Linked DNA regions of Macaca mulatta. The protein of the gene in region 2 binds, or shares a complex with, the protein of the main gene of each other region. Links are inferred from orthologs where the notes say so. Each region holds a gene or a part of one and is shown on either strand. Other genes may lie near its edges.

Evidence for each region.
Region 1: the proteins of PTPN6 (region 2) and KLRC1 are in contact, whole or in part, in an NMR structure (PDB 2YU7), measured with the Homo sapiens proteins. The link is inferred for Macaca mulatta from reciprocal best matches to the Homo sapiens genes PTPN6 and KLRC1. Residues at the interface, in NP_002822.2 of Homo sapiens: Gly117, Gly118, Glu121, Arg136, Ser138, Leu139, Ser140, Val146, Thr165, His166, Ile167, Lys168, Val178, Gly179, Gly180, Leu181, Glu182, Ile199, Glu200, Glu201, Ala202; in NP_002250.2 of Homo sapiens: Ile38, Thr39, Tyr40, Ala41, Glu42, Leu43, Asn44, Leu45, Gln46, Lys47.

Annotation. Positions count from the first base shown.
Region 1 is NC_133416.1:10,119,156-10,122,503, reverse strand, and holds part of KLRC1 (NKG2-A/NKG2-B type II integral membrane protein), read right to left. Parts: intron 2,919-3,348; 5' UTR 2,888-2,918; coding exon 2,701-2,887; intron 2,311-2,700; coding exon 2,215-2,310; intron 1,704-2,214; coding exon 1,650-1,703; intron 1,133-1,649; coding exon 981-1,132; intron 1-980. UniProt on the Homo sapiens protein: Immune inhibitory receptor involved in self-nonself discrimination.
Region 2 is NC_133416.1:7,927,180-7,930,998, forward strand, and holds part of PTPN6 (tyrosine-protein phosphatase non-receptor type 6), read left to right. Parts: intron 1-803; coding exon 804-993; intron 994-1,148; coding exon 1,149-1,265; intron 1,266-1,369; coding exon 1,370-1,483; intron 1,484-1,658; coding exon 1,659-1,755; intron 1,756-2,262; coding exon 2,263-2,342; intron 2,343-2,538; coding exon 2,539-2,688; intron 2,689-3,774; coding exon 3,775-3,819. UniProt on the Homo sapiens protein: Tyrosine phosphatase enzyme that plays important roles in controlling immune signaling pathways and fundamental physiological processes such as hematopoiesis.

The DNA.
Region 1 (3,348 bases), about 2.2 Mb from region 2:
GGGATCAACAAAGTGGCCGAGCAAGCATGTGAAGTTCCCCACCTGACAGAAGAGGGTGACCTAGGCCTGCTGTTTCCCCGCACCCAACCTGGCAACAGGAGGAGGGTATTGAAGGGGAGTCCCCTCCACAACACCAGGCGAGGCTGGTACCACCGGCAAGGATGAGCTACCAGGAGACCTGCTATCAATACAGCCAGAGGAAGTGCTTCCTTCTCATTCCAAGAGACACCAGAGTGGATGTGGGTGAGGAGGATCAGCAAAGCGATCCAATGACAACCGGTGCACCACCCAGGGTCCTCTTTGTCCCTGAGGGCAGGAGACCCACTTCCCCACCCAGAGACAAGGACTCAATGGATTCTTAGTGTTCTTTGTACATAGTACAGCAGTGAACAGTAACATACTACTGATAACTGCAATAATATGGAGGAATTGCACAAATATCAGATAGGAGTGAAAAACACAGACATGAAATTCACACTGTATGATTCCCTTTATATAAATTCAAAAACAGGCAAATGTTATTTATAACATTAAAAGTCAAGACAATATTTTGGAGGAGTCAGGATAAGTGATGAGGGCACACACAGGGGTGGAACTGCTAGAGCTGGAAACTGTTATTTCATGATCTGACTTGTATCACAGGAGTTCATTCACTTTGTGATCAATCTGCATGACCAGATCATATCATGCCCGATAAAATTAGATAGCAACATTTATTGTGGATTCAAAGCATTTATAGCAGCATGGTTTTCCATGAAAAGCAAAAACTGAAAATAATCAAAAGCAAGTTAGCAGTATATGCATTTTTAAACATTATTAAGTCAATCAATTAACTATTACATAAACTTGAAAACATATAAGCTACTCCCTACTAAAAACATAAGCTAAATATATATACCCACACATATGGATGATTTCTACAAATATATTATTGACCGAAATAAGCTTTTCATAAAGTGCTTATAACATTTACATCTTACCATTTCTTCTTCATTATCTATAGAAAGCAGACTGGAGTTCTTCGAAGCACAGGCCAGCAAACTCTCTGCCCAAGTTCTTTTCTCCTTACCAATATAATAACAACTGTTGGAATATGTAATCCACTCCTCAGGACAATGGCCACAGTGACGTGCTAAATAAAGATATGAATTACTGTCTAGACTCATATGAATTTTTAAAAATGAAAAATTTTTAACATATTTGCAAATGTATAAACCTATATGTATGCAACATATCTATGCATCTTCAGAGGCTGGTAAATATGTAGTTTGAAAATACCCAGTCACTTATATACATATGCGCAATAAAGGGTCAACCTCTCATCTCCTAATTGTGTTCCCATATAAAGCAAACCAGCAAACAAAAATCTACTCTATACATGTGTTGAAAATCAATGAACTAATCTGATTTTTAAGGAGCAATAAATAACTTGTATCTTATAGCAATAAGAATTTGAACACAATAGATAAAAACAAAGTATAGTGATTTTACTTACAGTTGATGACAAGGGAATGCCTTACTCTAATCTTTATTTATGAACATTTATTGCCAAATTTTATAATTTTTCACCCCAAATTTTATTTTTGTACAGCCTAAGATCAAGAAAAAGTAAACTGTACAATATTAAAACTTTAAAAATTATTATATACCTTTCTGAGTTCTTGTATTCAGGGAAGAATTGTTGTGCTTCTGTGTTAATGTAGCTAGAAAAATTAAAGTAATCTTTTTTAAAAATTAGCATCTAAATCAATCATAATAATTTTAAGTTTTTGTTTGAAATTTTTTGTGTTAGAGTTAGAATAATATGGAATAAAAATAATTTTAAGAAAAATTTGATAAAGTAATAATGGTTTTTTGGAAAAGTATTTCATAGATCTAAAGAACCAAATTTCACCCTCTCATATGGTTCTTATAATTCTTGATTTAACTACTTTCAAAAATTAATTTCTATTTCTCAGTAAGGTTTTTCAGACTCCTCAAACATATTTTTGAGTTATGAAATCAAAATATATACATGCAATTGCATCGGAAGCAAATACTTTCAACAATTATTCTTTCATTTATTCTTTGACAAATTCTGAATGACCATTCCACATTCAGTCCAAAGATATACATTACAATGAGAATTCTATTCCCTGAAAATATGAAATGTATAGAGGCACATTCAATCATTAACGTGAAAATTCCCCTTGTAATCTTCTAAAATAGACTTACAGGGAATAACAACTATTGTTACCACAGAGGCCATTAAGACAAGACAGATGATTCCCAGTATCCCAGCAATGAGCTTCTCTGGAGCTGAGAGTAAATCTGCAGGGAGCGAAATGGGAACAGTGCGAAAGGAGAGGTGGACATAGTTATTTAGAAGATTCAAAAACAAAAGAACCTGAATGCACAGGAATCATACGGAGAAACTTGGACCCCAAACCCTCATCTCCCATTGTAATCTTTTTCTCAGAATAATATACCATTGCATTTTCAGTAAAAATAATGCTCCATGAATTCTTTGACGAAGACTACACATTTCAACAATGAGTTAAATCAGTCTTCATATTTTATATTGAAATAGCATATCTCAACTTGAAATTCTGATCTTTACAAATAGAAAACATGTGAGTACTCCCTGCTCTTTCCCCACATCCCTGTACCCCAAGCTGCACATCCTAGACTGTTATATTGAGGATCTTTTAAATGCTTTACCTTTGCAGTGATTGGTTTTGTCATTCCCTTGAAAATCCTGCGAAGTTTTTTGAAGGTTTAATTCCGCATAGGTTATTTCCTGTTCAGTTACTAAAATGGAGCTTGTATTACCCTTAGGTTTTTGCTGCTGCCTCTTTGGGTTTGGGGGCAGATTCAAGTCTGAGTAGATTACTCCTTGGTTATCCATCTCTGCAGTGTGTGATGTCAGGGACTGTACTCTACAATAACCGTAGTTAAGAAGTTAATAAATGGTTTATATACAATATTCCCTAGTGCAGTTAAAAGGGTGAGGTGGAGAACGAGTATTGGAGCTCATTTTGCATTAAAGAATCTAAAGTTCTTTCTCTAATTTTCTTCAAGCCTAAACAAGTTTCTTATGGTAAAATATTTGTTTTAAAAAATATATTTTTGGGTCGGGCGCGGTGGCTCATGCCTGTAATCCCAGTACTTTGGGAAGCCGAGGCGTGCCGATTACAAGGTCAGGTGATCCATACCATCCTGGCTAACACGGTGAAACCCCGTCTCTACTAAAAATACAAAAATTAGCCGGACACGATGTCAGGCGCCTGTAGTCCCAACTCTCAGGAGGCTGAGGCAGGAGAATCGCTAGAACACGGGCGGCAGAGGTTGCAGTGAGCAGAGATCGTG
Region 2 (3,819 bases):
CTGTGGGGCAGGGCATTGTGGGGCTACAGTTTCCTCCTGGGAAAGGGGTGTGCTTTGGGGAAAGGGCTTAGTTCTGCTTTCTGCCCCGACAGCCCCTTTGAATCCCTTTGAACCCTTTTGAACCCTGGGCTCCCCTTCAGTGACATCATCCAGGGCACCCCAGAGCCCCCTACACCACTCTTTCCCCAGTGGGGTTGTCCTCCCCGCCTCCCTGGGGGAGCGCACCCCATTGGCCTTCCTTGTGACTTGTGTCTCTCTGTCCATCTCCCGCCACTCCCTGTGGTGTGGCCTTGGTCTGTGTTTCTCTTTGCCTCTGGTCTCTGCCGGGGCACAGCCTGATCCTTCATGGAGACTCTTCCTTAGTTTCCCTCTTCCAAATATTTGGAATATTGCCAGCCCTTCTGCCTTTCAGAGGTGGTCTCTGGGTTCAAAGCCTGGTCAGAATTCTGGGGGCTAAGATAGCTTGAGCCTGGGAGGTCAAGGCTGCAGAGAGCAATAACCGTGCCCCTGCACTCCAGCCTGGGCAACAGAGCTCGGGAGGCTTGCCTTGGAGTCCATCAGGGGCCCTAGGCCAGTGAGTAACAGCTCAGCGTCAGTTTCCTCATCTATAAAATGGGGGTAATATCATACCCAGCCCTCAGCATGTTTGTGAGAGGCATCAATACGATGGTGGATTTGGAACCATCTAGCGCAGTGCCTGGCCACAGTAGGTGCTTGATTTCCTGCCCCTCTCTGTGAATATCTTTGCTCAGCACCTTCCCCTGTGGCCTGGGTCTCACCTTCCCTGACGCTGCCTTCTGTAGGTGGTACCATGGCCACATGTCTGGAGGGCAGGCAGAGACGCTGCTGCAGGCCAAGGGCGAGCCCTGGACATTTCTTGTGCGTGAGAGCCTCAGCCAGCCTGGAGATTTTGTGCTATCTGTGCTTAGTGACCAGCCCAAGGCTGGCCCAGGCTCCCCGCTCAGGGTCACCCACATCAAGGTCATGTGTGAGGTAAGGCAGCCAGGTGGTGGGGGAGCCTCTGCTGAGGCTCCTGTCTGTGACCGCAGTGTGGGTGGCAGGGAGGGTCTGCCTGGGCTTGAATTCAAGGCTGGGGCTCAGGGAGGGAGACTCGAGCCCTGTGAGTGGCCTTATTTGGCTCCCTCCAGGGTGGACGCTACACAGTGGGTGGTTCAGAGACCTTCGACAGCCTCACGGACCTGGTGGAGCACTTCAAGAAGACGGGGATTGAGGAGGCCTCAGGTGCCTTTGTCTACCTGCGGCAGGTCAGGCGGGGACCCAGCTGCTTCCTCCCTTCCCCTGAGCTGTCCCCCAGGTGTGAGCTTCTGAGACCTCTGAGTTGCTGACTTCTCGCTCTCCCCTATCCCAGCCGTACTACGCCACGAGGGTGAATGCGGCTGACATTGAGAACCGAGTCTTGGAACTGAACAAGAAGAAGGAGTCCGAGGATACAGCCAAGGCTGGCTTCTGGGAGGAGTTTGAGGTGCATGGTGGGGAACTGGCAGGGCTGGGGCAGCTGAGGCGGTGGCGGCCGCGTGGGGCCCCAGGCGGACACCTTCCTCCCCTTGCCCACCTCTGCTCCTGACCCACCCCACGTGAGCTCCCCTGATGGGTGCTCTCTCTGGGAGGTGATGCTCATTTCCTCACCCACATCTCAGAGTTTGCAGAAGCAGGAGGTGAAGAACTTGCACCAGCGTCTGGAAGGGCAGCGGCCAGAGAACAAGGGCAAGAACCGCTATAAGAACATTCTGCCCTGTGAGCACCCAGCCTGCCCCATTCACCCAGGAGACCGCCCCACCCCAGCCACTGCCCCTGCCCCATTCACCCAGGAGACCTCCCCTGCTGCAGCCGCTGCCCCTGCCCCATTCACCCAGGAGACTGCCCCGCCCCAGCCGCCACCCCTGCCCCATTCACCCACCCAGGAGACCGCCCCGCTCCAGCCGCCGCCCCTATCTCACAGGTCTCCACCCTCCACTCCAGGAGGGGCCACCTCCCCACACCCCTTCTCCAAAAGGCCTCTACTCCTCCCAGAAGTGCCTCCCCACCATCAGCAGGCAGGCTGCCCCTTGCTCCCAACCTCCTTCTTGTGAATCCCCTCACTCCCTCCGTACAGATGATCCCCCACCCCTGCTGCCCACAGTCCCCCGCAAGCCTCATGGCTTCTGAGACCAGAACGGCCTGTTAGCTCAGGAGGGTCTGACGCAGGTGTGGTGAGTCCCTGGCTGACCCAGGCCATCTCGCCTCCTCTCCACCCACTCCCAGTTGACCACAGCCGAGTGATCCTACAGGGACGTGACAGTAACATCCCGGGGTCCGACTATATCAATGCCAACTACATCAAGGTCAGTGGTGTGGGTCATGTGGGAGGAGAGGCTGGGCCCTGGGAATTCCCTGTCTGGTGGGGGACCCTAGATCCAGAGACACCTGGGCAAAGCCAAAGCTGGCTTCTTGCATGGGTGAGGGGAGCAGTGGTTCAGGCCCTGTGCTGGGCTGAGGGGCTCACTGTTTTGGGGTGCGTCTCTCCACGCTTGTGTCCAGAACCAGCTGCTAGGCCCTGATGAGAACACTAAGACCTACATCGCCAGCCAGGGCTGTCTAGAGGCCACGGTCAACGACTTCTGGCAGATGGCGTGGCAGGAGAACACCCGCGTCATCGTCATGACCACCCGAGAGGTGGAGAAAGGCCGGGTAGGGCACCCCGCCCCATCCCCACATCCTTGCCCCGTCCTTGTGGTCATACCATTAAGTCAAAGAACCGTCAGATGCCAGAGCAGAAAGGGATCTCGGGGGTGAGGGTCCAGCCTTGTTGGGAAACTGAGGGCTAGTGACAAAGTCTCGACTACACGATGCAACCCCCAGATCCCTGCATGCACCCCTGGGCTCTTCTGAGCTCCAGACCCAGGTTTTAGGCTGTCCTCCTTCCTCCTACACCTTCCCCACCTGTCTGCATCCAGGCCCCTCCTGTCCTCCCTGCCCCATAGATGTCTGTGGAGTCTGCCCCTCACTCTGCAGCCTCCCCTTACACAGCACCCTCTGTGCTGCCGTTGAAGTGATGCCATCCGTGACAAACTGGGTCGAGTTCCTTCCCCTCTGAAATCTCTTCCATGGCTCCTGGTCACCTTTGGGATAAAGTCACACTCGAAGGCCTGGCGTTCAAGGCCTGGTGGTTTCCCTCTGACTCCCACGCTTCTCTTGAAGGCTCACCGCTTCCAGCAGCCGCGGCTCTTTCAGGTTCCCAGCCTTTCTTTGCACAAGCTCTTTTCTGCTAGGAAATGACTCTGTCTCCACACTGTCTCCGCCCGGCAGATGCCTCGTGTTTGAAGACACAGCTGAAGCGCTGCCTTCTCTGTGAATTCAGGTCTTGTTTTCTCCAGGACCTAGAGGGCGAGTTTCCTCGTTCCCAGCCACGCTCCTCAGCGCGGCGTCTCCCCGGTCACTTGTCTCTGTGAGCTCCTCCAGGCACAGGGGCACAGACTGGGTGTTAGCTGTGTCTGTGACTACAGCCTGGTTTGCACGGCTTCGGGGACAACGCCTGCCTCGGCAATGTTTGTTGAATGACAAATGGATGTACCAGTAAAGCGGCTGGCCAGGTCGCACCACCTGTTGGTGGCTGATCTGAGACGAGAGCCCAGGTCTCCTGCCTCTCTGCCAGCTCATCTATCCATCCAACAAACGTTTGGGCCGGTGCCAGGCACTCAGAACCTAGAGCGGGACCTGGGATGGGCCACAGCGCCCTGCTCTGTGCCTCATCCCCACCCGACCCTCCCTTTCCAGAACAAATGTGTCCCATACTGGCCCGAGGTGGGCACTCAGCGCGTT